Linked DNA regions of Oryctolagus cuniculus. The protein of the gene in region 1 interacts with the protein of each later gene in a pairwise test. Links are inferred from orthologs where the notes say so. Each region holds a gene or a part of one and is shown in the gene's direction. Other genes may lie near its edges.

The links.
Region 2: the proteins of RABAC1 (region 1) and RAB1A interact in a two-hybrid assay, tested with the Homo sapiens proteins (2 studies listed by BioGRID and IntAct). The link is inferred for Oryctolagus cuniculus from reciprocal best matches to the Homo sapiens genes RABAC1 and RAB1A.
Region 3: the proteins of RABAC1 (region 1) and SPG21 interact in binary tests that used the Homo sapiens proteins (3 or more experiments, as listed by UniProt). The two-hybrid records come from large-scale screens. The link is inferred for Oryctolagus cuniculus from reciprocal best matches to the Homo sapiens genes RABAC1 and SPG21.

What each region holds. Positions count from the first base shown.
Region 1 is NC_091449.1:12,583,702-12,587,444, reverse strand, and holds RABAC1 (prenylated Rab acceptor protein 1), read left to right. Parts: upstream 1-1,188; 5' UTR 1,189-1,329; coding exon 1,330-1,385; intron 1,386-1,658; coding exon 1,659-1,871; intron 1,872-1,975; coding exon 1,976-2,073; intron 2,074-2,736; coding exon 2,737-2,838; intron 2,839-2,916; coding exon 2,917-3,014; 3' UTR 3,015-3,135; downstream 3,136-3,743. UniProt on the Homo sapiens protein: General Rab protein regulator required for vesicle formation from the Golgi complex. May control vesicle docking and fusion by mediating the action of Rab GTPases to the SNARE complexes.
Region 2 is NC_091433.1:137,618,044-137,621,718, forward strand, and holds the start of RAB1A (ras-related protein Rab-1A), read left to right. Parts: upstream 1-733; 5' UTR 734-1,159; coding exon 1,160-1,182; intron 1,183-2,872; exon of another isoform or gene 2,873-2,996; intron 2,997-3,675. UniProt on the Homo sapiens protein: The small GTPases Rab are key regulators of intracellular membrane trafficking, from the formation of transport vesicles to their fusion with membranes.
Region 3 is NC_091443.1:88,008,563-88,012,305, reverse strand, and holds the start of SPG21 (maspardin), read left to right. Parts: upstream 1-1,167; 5' UTR 1,168-1,397; intron 1,398-1,491; exon of another isoform or gene 1,492-1,513; intron 1,514-1,593; exon of another isoform or gene 1,594-3,294; intron 3,295-3,743. UniProt on the Homo sapiens protein: May play a role as a negative regulatory factor in CD4-dependent T-cell activation.

The sequences.
Region 1 (3,743 bases):
TTCCACTGTTTTCCTAAGCATATTGACAGGGAGCTGGATGGGAAGTGGAGCAGTTGGGACTCAAACCATTGCCCATATGGGATGCTAGCGTCACAGGCGGTGGCTTAACCTGCTGTGCCACAATGCTGGAGCTGACAGCTCCTTTAAACACACACACACACACACACACACACACACACTTCTGTTTAGGGGCCAGCGCTGTGGCATGGTGGGCTAAGCCTCTACCTGTGATGTCGGCATCCCCTACGGGTGCTGGTTCAAGTCCTGGCTGCTCCTCTTCTGACCCAGCTCTCTGCTGTGGCCTGGGAAGGCAGCAGAGGATGGCTCAACTGCTTGGGCCCCTGCACCCACGTGGGAGACCCAGAGGAAGCTCCTGGCTCCTGGCTTTGGATCGGCACAGCTCTGGCCGTTGTGGCCATGTGGGAGTGAACAAGTGGACGGATGATCTCTCTCTCTCTCTCTCTCTCTCTGTAACTCTGTAAGTAAATAAAATACTAAATAGCAACAAGAACAACAAGTTCTCTTAGGGGAGAGGGCCATTAGCCTAGTGGTTAAGGCACCTGTGTCCCACCTCGGAGTGACTGGGTCTGGTTCGGGTTCTGGGGCCCTGGGAGATGATCGGGCTCCTGGGTCCCGTGTGGGAGACCTGGGTTGAGTGGATGGGAGTTGTGTGTGTGTGTCTCTCTCTGAAATAAATGTAAAACATAAAGTAAAATTCTCAACCCTCTCCTCAACCCCTCGTGGCTGTCGCGAGTGTTACCCTACTCACCCCGGGATCCCTGGGAGGGGCCCGCTCCCCACCTCTCGAGGACGGAACGGACGCCCACAAATTCCCTGCAACCCTGGGGCTCGGTATGCGGCCCGCGGGGGACTTGATACAAAGGCGGATTTCATGGCCTGCAGTCCAGACTGGCTGAGTCGGAACATTTGGGCCCGAGGCCTAGGATTCAGTGTTTAATCAAGCCCGCCAGGGTACATTTTTATGCCTTCTAGAGTCAGGACGACAGCCCCGCACGGTCCCCACTGGACCCTCCGAGGGAGAATACACAACACTTAACTCCCCACCTCCCACTCCTGAAACTACAACTCCCACAATGCCCAGAGAGACCACAACTCCCACAATGCCCTGCGAGCCAGACTGCCGTCATGGCGCCCAGTCGCCCGTCGGGACTACAACTCCCACAATGCTCGGGGAGCAGAGCTCCTCCCCCAGCGGCGCCGACGCGGAGCCACGTCCGCGCCGCTGGGTGAGGCCTGGCACCGGCGGGGCCCGAGGGGTCTGCAGGGCCCGGGGCCAGTTACAGCGGTTCTGCCCTTCACAACGTAGACATGGCGGCCCCGAAGGACCAGCAGAAGGAGGCCGAGGCCGAAGGGCTGAGCGCCACGTGAGCGAGCCCGCTGTAACCCGGGGGTGCCGGCCCCGGCCTCCTCTCCCCTCGAGTCGCGGGGGTCCTGGCCCCCGGACACCGAAACGTCTTTCTAGGACGCGAGTCCGGTCCCCCGGCCCCTTCCTCCCCCGGGATCCAGGGGAAGCCCCTCCCTGCCCCGCCCCGGCCCGCCCCAGGGCCCAGGCGCCGGCCCTCCCCTCCCCCCTCCGCTGGTGTCTGGGAGGGGTCGGGGGTCCCGGCTCACCGCTGCCCCCCCCCCCCGCCCTCCAGGACCCTGCTGCCGAAGCTCATTCCGTCCGGCGCCGGCCGCGAGTGGCTGGAGCGGCGCCGGGCGACCATCCGGCCGTGGGGCGCCTTCGTGGACCAGCGGCGTTTCTCGCGGCCCCGCAACCTGGGCGAGCTGTGCCAGCGCCTGGTCCGCAATGTGGAGTACTACCAGAGCAACTACGTGTTCGTGTTCCTGGGCCTCATCCTGTACTGCGTGTGAGCCGGCCCGCCCCACGCCCAGGGCGCCCTGGCCTCCGCCCGCTGCGGCCGGGCCCGGGCCCTGACCTCCTGACCTCCGCCTCCCTGCCCTCCTCCTCCAGGGTGACGTCGCCCATGCTGCTGGTGGCCCTGGCCGTCTTCTTCGGCGCCTGCTACATCCTGTATCTGCGCACGTTGCAGTCCAAGCTCGTGCTCTTCGGTGAGAAGTCACCTCCTGGCCTCTCGGCTCGCAGACCTCGGCCCCCAAGTCCCCGTCCCTGGGGCCTCACCCGAGCCTGGCTCTCGGGATTCCCGCAGGCCTGACACAGCTGGTGTCCCAGCCTCAGCCCCCGCGTCGCCCTCGCTCACCCCCTGGCTAAGCCCCAGCCCTGCCCCAGCCGCCGCGCCCTCCCCGCCTCTGCGGGAAGCATCGCTGCACGTCCCCACACGGGACACCAGGTGGCGCCCTTGCACCGGCCTGGCCCTCCCCACCTGTCTGCGCCCCGGGGTGGGACCGGGGAGGTCTTGGGGCTGCTTGGGGAGGGGAGTCCAGGCCGTGCCTCCTGCTACCGAGCAGAACTGGCAGGTTGGGGGGCAGCCAGGGGGTGGTCGGGATCAGGGAGCCAAGGGCAGGGGGGCTGGGGTTGGCAGAGCGGGGAGGGGTCCCTGAGGAAGCCCAGCCACACCCTGGCCTCGCCAGGCTGCAGGTGGCGTCTCGGCCGTGTGAGGTTCTGTCCATTTGTGTCCTCCACCGGCTGAGACTCGCCGTTGGAAGCTGAGCTGGGAGCTGAGGGAGGCGGTGGGGACGCTGGGGGCCGGGCAGGGGGCAGGGGCCGCTTTGGGGGGCCGGGTGGAGGCAGCTGCCCATGCCGTCTGCCCGCAGGCCGTGAGGTGAGCCCAGCCCATCAGTACGCCCTGGCCGGAGGCGTCTCCTTCCCCTTCTTCTGGCTGGCTGGGGCCGGCTCCGCTGTCTTCTGGGTGCTGGGTGAGTGCCGGGCCGGGGTGGCGGGGTGGCGGCGGGGCCGGGCCAGGGGACCCGCCCTGAGCCGCCCGTTTCCCTCAGGGGCCACCCTGGTGGTCATCGGCTCCCACGCCGCCTTCCACAAGGTGGAGGCTGTGGACGCGGAGGAGCTGCACATGGAGCCCCTGGAGCCCGTGTGAGGCGTCAGCGAGGCCCCCAGCCGGGCGCCCACCCTTGCCCACTGCCCACCGCCAGCACGTGCCCCATGTCGGGGGTGGCTTCCTGAAATAAAGCTGTGACGCTGTCACACAGCACGCGGCCCCCAGGTCTCCTGTGACGTCACTCAGCACAGGGCCCCCGGGTCTCCTGTGACATCACTTGGCACGCGGCCCCCAGGGTCTCCTGTGATGTCACTGGCACGCGGCCCCCCGGGTCTCCTGTGATGTCACTGGCACACGGCCCCAGGGTCTCCTGTGACATCACTGGCACACGGTCCCCCGGGTCTCCTGTGACGTCACTGGCATGGGGCCCCCCAGTCTCCTGTGACGTCACTCAGCACAGGGCCCCCAGGGTCTCCTGTGATGTCACAGGCATGTACCCCCGGGGTCTCCTGTGACGTCACTGGCACACGGCCCCCAGGGTCTCCTGTAACGTCATGGCACGTGGCCCCCCGGGTCTCCTGTGACGTCACTGGCACGCAGCCCCCCAGGTCTCCTGTGACGTCACTCAGCACACAGCCGCAGGGTCTCCTGTGACGTCACTGGTACGCGGCCCCCCGGTCTCCTGTGACGTCACTGGCACGCGGCCCCCCGGTCTCCTGTGACGTCACTCAGCACAGGGTCTCCTGTGATGTCACAGGCATGTACCCCCGGGGTCTCCTGTGACGTCACTGGCACGCGGCCCCCCCAGTCTCCTGTGACGTCACAGAC
Region 2 (3,675 bases), on another chromosome or scaffold:
TGCTCAGAATTAAGTGGCAACTTTTAAAGAGGCAGAACAATTCAGCCTGAAGGCTGGGCCGAGAGCAGGTAGACTCAACTCTTAGGCCATGCCTGGGCTGTGTCCCACCCCTGGCTGTGGAGCCCTTGAAGGTTGTGGGGTCACGGTGGAAGCGCTGTGTGCGAATGGGCTGGGGCATAGTCCACTTGCAGGCAACTGAAATGTCCAGGCTGAGGTGACATGACAAGAGTGGGGCTGGGCCAGGACTGTAAAAATCAAAAAGAAAACGGTAGTGACCGAACCCGGGTGGGGTCGGGTGAGTGAAGAGGGCTGCGCGCAGTCCAGGGCGCCGGAAGTCCTCGGCAGAGGCCCCCGACTTTCCCGCCGCCCTCTGAGCCTACGTCCTCGGACCAGCGGCGAAGGGCAGGCCTCAAGCCCGTCGGGCCTGCGAGAACCGCGCGGGGCTCAGGGGCCGCCAGGCGCGCGCCCCTTCCCCCACGCTCGGGCCGTCCCACCAGGCCAGACCCCTCCCGCCCCGCGGTCCCACCGTGACCCCCATCCTCCGCCCCGGCCGGTACCGCCCTCTGCCTCTTCCCACCCCCTCCCCCGTGGGGCGCTGACTCGCCCGGCTGCCACGTCTCACTGGTGACATCACCGGGGCCTCTCGGCCTTAGCCAATCCGCTAGGGGGAGTCCGAGCGAAGTCCTAGCCAGCGAGTCAACGGGGAGGGGAGCAGGGAGGGGCGGAGGGTGGGGGGTGAGGGAGTGGGGAATGGAGCGGGCGACAACCGCACAAGTACGCATGCACCAGAGTCGCGGGGCTTGGCGGGAAGCGGAGTCCCGGCCGCCTTGCCGCACCGTCGGTCTTCTGCGCGTGTAGCTGCGCTCGCGACTCTCCTTCCCGGCATGCCACGCGCCGAGGCCGCCCTCCGGGCCGTGTAAAGACCCCTTGGTCCGAGGCTTCCCTATTTCCTGGTTCGCCGGCGGCCATTTTGGGTGGAAGCGATAGCTGAGTGGCGGCGGCTGCTGATTGTGTTCTAAGGGGACGGAGCGGGGGAAGACGTTTGCTCTCCCGGAACAGCCCATCTCATTCCTTTCCTTCGATTACCCGTGGCGCGGAGAGTCAGGGCGGCGGCTGCGGCAGCAAGGGCGGCGGTGGCGGCGGCGGCAGCTGCAGTGACATGTCCAGCATGAATCCCGAATAGTGAGTGCAGGAGAACACCGGTCGGCTGGGTCGGTGGGCCAGCTTGGGAAGCTTAAGCGGGGCGAGGAGGGCTGGGGCAGGGGCGCGGGCATTGGCCCGAGGGAGGCAAGGGTGACGGGGCCTTAGAGGCTTGAGGCCGGGAGTCGGGCCCCATTGTCTGACGGCGGAGGGGCGGCCGGGGGGAGGGGTCGGCCGGAGAGGTGAGCGGCCCGGGCCTCGGCCGGGTCCGCCTCAGGGCCTGAGTGCCGGGCCGCTGCGGAGGGCCTTGGGGCGTTGGGCAGTCCGGTGGCGGAGCGGCCTGAAGGGTCAGCTTCCTCCGGGGGCAGTAACTTTGGAAGGGGCATTTGTTTTTAAGGGGAGGAGAAGGGTGGGAGAGCTCCCCCAGAGGGCACTGTCAGACCCCGCGCCCGCGCTCTGCGGAGCTGTCAGGATCGCCGGGTTGGAAACCAGCTTTACTTGTAAAGCCTGAGCTTGCTGGTTCCCTGTCGTGCCACCCTCCCCGCCAGGTTGCAGGTAATATGGATGCTTCTCGGGACTGCGTGGGATTGAGGGCAAGGAGCGGAGAGATGGTGAGCAGCGATTTAAAATGCTTAGTTCTCGTTTGGAGTTATCTCCTGGAGGAGTTCTTTAAGAACTTGCCTGGTCCATCGCCCTCCCAAAGCCCTGGACATTTGGGAGAATTTGTTGTTAGAGGACACCTAAGTCATTTTGTCTTCTATAGGTCAAGGGAGGGAGAAAAAAAAAAAACAGAACTAAAACCAAGGGTACTACCGAATTGGACAAGGACTACTGTCAAGTTGAAAGAGAAACGAGTGGGACCTATGGTAGATCGTGTAGGTTTTGGATTACCTACTTGAATGCTTGTAGATAGGGAATGAGCTTCCATGACGTGTCATGAAAAGTTAATGCATTTCTTTTCCTTGCTTACTCAAGAGGTCACCACAACAGATGTGACACACCTGGCACTTTTCCTGGGAACTAGTGTTCACTTGCCTTGGGGAAGAGTTTAGTTGAGTTCTTTATGGCCCTTAAGAAAAAACACTTCCTACAGTTTACATATATGTAAATTAATGAAAAGTTGATAATTTAATTGGTATTCTTCAGCGCCGGAAACCTTTTCAGGAGGATTTCTAAAAGCAAAAATTAGTATTTGTCCCAAAAGTTTTTTTATTTTTTGCTTTGGTCAGTTACTGGTAGACATATCCCCCTGAAAAGTCAACTCTTCAGTTTAGCTGACTGTCATGTGTGTGTCACATGACTGTTGCAAAACGCATTCTGACTTCAAATTTTGTAATATTGTGGTTTGATGCTGAAATATCTTTTCGTACTAAACAGTAGCTATACGATTTTACTAGAATTTCTTACTTGAAAAATTTGCTATGTTGGCAATTTTTTCTTTATCAAGGGCTCCGAGGACAAAGTTGGTGTTACGTGGTTAGCCCGAGTTGATGTAAGGTTCCTAATTAGTGTTTATCCTGGAAGCAGTAAAGAACATGAATTTTTGGATTTGCCACTATATGGAGATTTTTTAAACCTCTGCTGTTCAGGGAGGTTCCTATATTTGCTACATATGTTTAGTACTATAAATAGACCTTGAAAATTAATTAGTTGAATGAGATTTTGAGAAATTACTCAGCTTCAGAATTTGTTTCTCCTTTTGTAAAATAGGATAAATAGGAGTCATCCTTACCAATGTAGTGGTGAGATTCAGATACTTCCAGACGAATTTGGAAAATGGTAAGAACATTCTTTTGGAGGTAGAAATCATTTTCCTGTAAGGCATTCTGATAGTGCTAGGGTTTAACAGTGCTATGGTTTTATAAGTTCCCCAAGGAACTTATAAATGGAATATAGAATGTAGATTTTTTTTTTTAGAATGTAGATTTTATGCATATCAAATGTCAGTAGATATAGCAAGTTCCAAATATGCAGTATAGATTGGAGCAACAGGATTTCAGAGGAATGTAGTGACTTTGGCTTGCCCATTGGGTTTTGGAAGACTCTGGAAAAGAAACCTGTAAGGATGTTATTAGCAGTGAGATTTGGAAGAGCAGAAAGGATCGAGGAGGATTTTTCCAGGGGCAAAAAGGAAGGATGGCCAATAAATGGCAAGGACTATAGAATTTAAGTAAGTGTAGTGCCAGATCATCCTTTCTTTTAAGAACTTTAGATTAATGATCTCAACAGAGTCAAACTTAGAAAATCTTTTTATATTTTTTTCTGGCATCTTGTTTGCCAATATCTAGCCTACTGTATTTGCATTCTGGACTGTCTATTAAAATAGTCCAGTAGTTTGGGAAAACCTTTGCAAAAGTGTTAATGAAAATATCTTAGGGTGATAGTAAAAGATGGCTATTTTAGGGAAGATCGGGGGCAACCAATAATCAGATTTTTTTTTTACCAATCTGACTTCATTGATCTCTTTTTGTCTTTAACGAAGTTTAACATTGTAAGAGTAATTGGAAAACAAAAAAAGAAAGCATTCCTTATTAT
Region 3 (3,743 bases), on another chromosome or scaffold:
ATCCGTTCTTGCGGATGTCCCTACCCTAATAAACTTCGCTACTTCTACTTTCCACTACTCTGTCTCATGCCTGAATTCTTTCTTGCACGAAGAACCCTGCCATTCTCCAGTAATAATTCCACTCATTAAACTATTCCAAAATCCTCAGAACAATCTCCCAAGGTTAAAGCCTTCCATGGAAGCCTGCTCTACAGAGTGTACACACCTGTGTGGGGCTTACAACAAAGACCAGTTCCCGTGACTGACCCCCACTCCCGAGGAGGTGATTTGGAAATCAGTAGGCGAGGGTGTCATCCTGCTCTTGGGAAATGTGTTGGGGATTTGGTCAAATGCTGGCCTGGAACCCAAGGTTCCTGAGCCAGAGGACAGAGGTCATGACTGAGGATGCAATTTAACTGGAATCTTCCCTGACCTTACTCCCATGGGCAAGGACACAGGCTTTAAGCATATTAGAGAGAGGCACTGAGCAGGGCCTTGCCGCAGGGTCCCTTAAAAGCTCCCAACAGGAAGCCTTCCATGCCATTCATGTGTCATACCCTCCTCCAGTGCAAACCTGGAAATGTTTAACTGGGGAAGGGAGTCCGAGAACAATGACAGTGAAGCCATTCACATGCCTCCGGGCCTTTAAAGGAAAAGTGCTGACAGAGGCAGGGTGGGAGTCTGTTCCCAGAAATGTCCCACATCGGGAGCACGAGGCTGGAGGCACTCGTGTGGAGACAACGAGGCGTCTGTGCCTGCGCCAAATGGTATATAAAAAACAGAACTTGCCAAGAATAGCCACAGTCCTGTTCCCCAAAACCGGGAACCCAAACGAATCTCCTCAAAGCTTTGCAGGACGGGAGCACGCAAGCCAACTGAGCGCAGAAGCAGGTGCCAGGGGCCAGACGTCCCCTTCGTCCACGCCCACAACTTCCTCCTGGGTGCTCACGTCACACAGGTGACCTAGAGTCGACCCAGAGGAAACCCGGACCTCCCCCACGCCCGCCGCACCGGATGCGGGCTGCCCGGCAGCTCGCAGCACTCACAACACCTGCAGTCTCCCACCCGAGTTGCCAGCCCTCCCCGTCGCCATGGCGCCGCCCGCGCCACGCAGCCCCGCCCCTTCCTCGCGACGTGGCCCCGCCCACCGCCGAACCCGGAAGCGGGAGGCTCGAGCCCGCTGAGCCAAGGTTCCGGAGGAGGAGGGAGCGCGACGGCCGAGCTCGCCGAGCCGCGCGCCCCGCCCCTCGGAGGCTGGCCTCCTGCGCGCGCCCCCGCTGCCGGCGGCCCCTGTGGGTCCCGAGCGCTCCCGGCCCCGGCCCGCTCCCGGGCCCAGCCGCCTCCACGGCCCGCCCCAGTGCTGGAGCAAGGAGCTGCCTAGGGCAGGAGGGCCGGGGACGTGGGGGCGGCCACGGCAGGTGAGGGCGGGCAAGGCCCTGGGCCGCGGGGCTGTGGGGGTGTGGCGTGTGTCGGGGCTGTGGGTGGTGGGTGTGTAGCGTGCGCAGCTGCCTCGGCCGGATGTGACTTTGTGAGTGTGAGTGTGATCCCGAGTGGGCCGGTCCATGTGACCATGCACGTGATCGCAGACCCGTGCGCGAGGGAGGTGTTTGTCCTGAGGCCGAGCCTGGGCTCGTGGCGGGGGTGGGCGGTGTGCCTGGGACCCTACCTTTGTGTGGCTGTCACCGTTGGGAGTGGGAGGCCTTGGAGTGGACAGAAGGCTTCCCGGGGACAGACGCCTGCAGACCCATCCTGGTGCTGCGCCGCAGAGCCCAGGAACTTTTCTGTTTTTCCCAGATAACTTTTAAGAACTCTGAACAAAGGCCACTTATTGTGGAGATTGTCCCTCGGCCTGAAAGTGACAGATGCCTTTGTCGTTGCTGATTTTCGGGCCAGGTAGACAGGGAATCAGGAGTCACAGGGCCTCTCCCCTGTTCCTGGGGAGTTACAAGTTAGACACTCTCGCTGTGTCTTTGTCTCCTGGAATGGTCCAGCTCCTATGGGCTGGGCCTGAGGGGTGTGTCCAGCGTTCCAAAAGCTTTTATATACCAAGAGCACAGGAGGAGCTGTCAGAGAAGAGATGTCAGGGAGGCAGCTTTCCCTCCCAAGAGGTTTGGCGATGATGAAATAGATTCCTGATGAGAAGCAGAGATCTTAAAAAAAAAAGGGGGGGGTGTCTGTGTACTGATGGGGTGAGGGATGGAGGCGTGTGTTAAAAAGCTCAGAACTCCATGCTGTAGTGCTTGTTTTTTTTGTTTGTTTTTGACAGGCAGAGTGGATAGTGTGAGAGAGAGAGAAAGGTCTTCCTTTACCGTTGGTTCACCCTCCAATTGCCACCACGGCTGGCACGCTGCGGCCGGCGCACCGCGCTGATCTGAAGCCAGGAGCCAGGTGCTTCTCCTGGTCTCCCATGGGGTGCAGGGCCCAAGCACTTGGGCCATCCTCCACTGCCCTCCCGGGCCACAGCAGAGAGCTGTCTTGGAAGAGGGGTAACTGGGACAGAATCCAGCACCCCGACTGGGACTAGAACCCGGTGTGCTGGTGCCGCAGGCGGAGGATTAGCCTACTGAGCCGCGGCGCCGGCCATGTAGTGCTTGGTTTTGCTGGTATTAATCGGGACAGGTCGCCCGCATGTAGAACAGCCATAGATTGAGATAAAGGATCAGAGACCTTGGACTAGCACAGCCGGGTGTGTGGTTGCAACACTTGTAAAGGCAGCTTCGTGGGCTGTAAACTGGCAGAGTGTGAGGGCCCCCAAGACAAGCTCGCACCCCGACCTGGCAGTGTGACTGTGCAGCAGCTCCAGGCCAGCGAGGACGGGGTCCCGGACACCCGGTGCCCTTAGGGGAGAGTGAGGCTGTCATCGCCGAAGCCTTTCCCTGCCAGCCAGAGCAGGTGCGTTCGTTTCTGTGAAAAACTCAGTCATGGGCGATGGAATCCGTGTTGCGCTCACCGTCCACATTCTTTCTGCCTTAATCCTGACCCGTTTGGTCACCATCTCAGCCAGCCTTCTTCGCCGTCTTGGAAAGTGTGCCCCTCGATGGATGAAAGAGAGCCAGGGGAACAGACCTTCCTTGTCAGACTGCTCAGCGGCTGTCCCTTGCGGAAGTGAGCTTTTCTTCACCTGGACGTCAGTTGGTCAATTGCAGCATTTGGTATCTGTCTCCCCTTTCATGTACTGCCAGACTAGCACAAGTGTTAAAATCACTTGTCGCCACAAAAATGTAGTCCCAGCTGAGTGCAGTCGCTCGGTCCGGCAAGGTTAGTTATAACTTGTTGTAATCGGGCGGTGGCCGCGAATTCTCCTGAGGACTGTTGGTAAGGAGCATCTTCCCACCTGCTGCTCTGGAGAGAAGTGGATGAGTGAGTGAGTCGGTGGGCTGTGTGAGAGTATGTGGATATGTGAGGTAGTTTGGTTTGCGCCCTGCAGCTGATTCCAAAACTGAATATTGTGTTCTACCCCTGGTTTGATGACTAGAAGCAATCTTTCAAGCTTTAAAAGATGAAGTATTTAGGGGATATGAGAATGTGGCCTGTCTGTCCAGGGAGAAAGTATTCCAGAATTAACTGTGTGGTTGTTCTTTCTGTTAAAAGTAGTAACCAGCTTAGAGGAAGGCTGTAGTTAAAATGGCTTAGTATTTGTTTGTTTGAGAGAGACAGAGAGCGAGCTTCCATCCACTGGTTAACTTCCTGAATGCCACAAGCTACTGGAGCTGGGCCAAGGTGAAGCCCGGAGCCAGGAACACAATCCAGACCTCTCACATGGG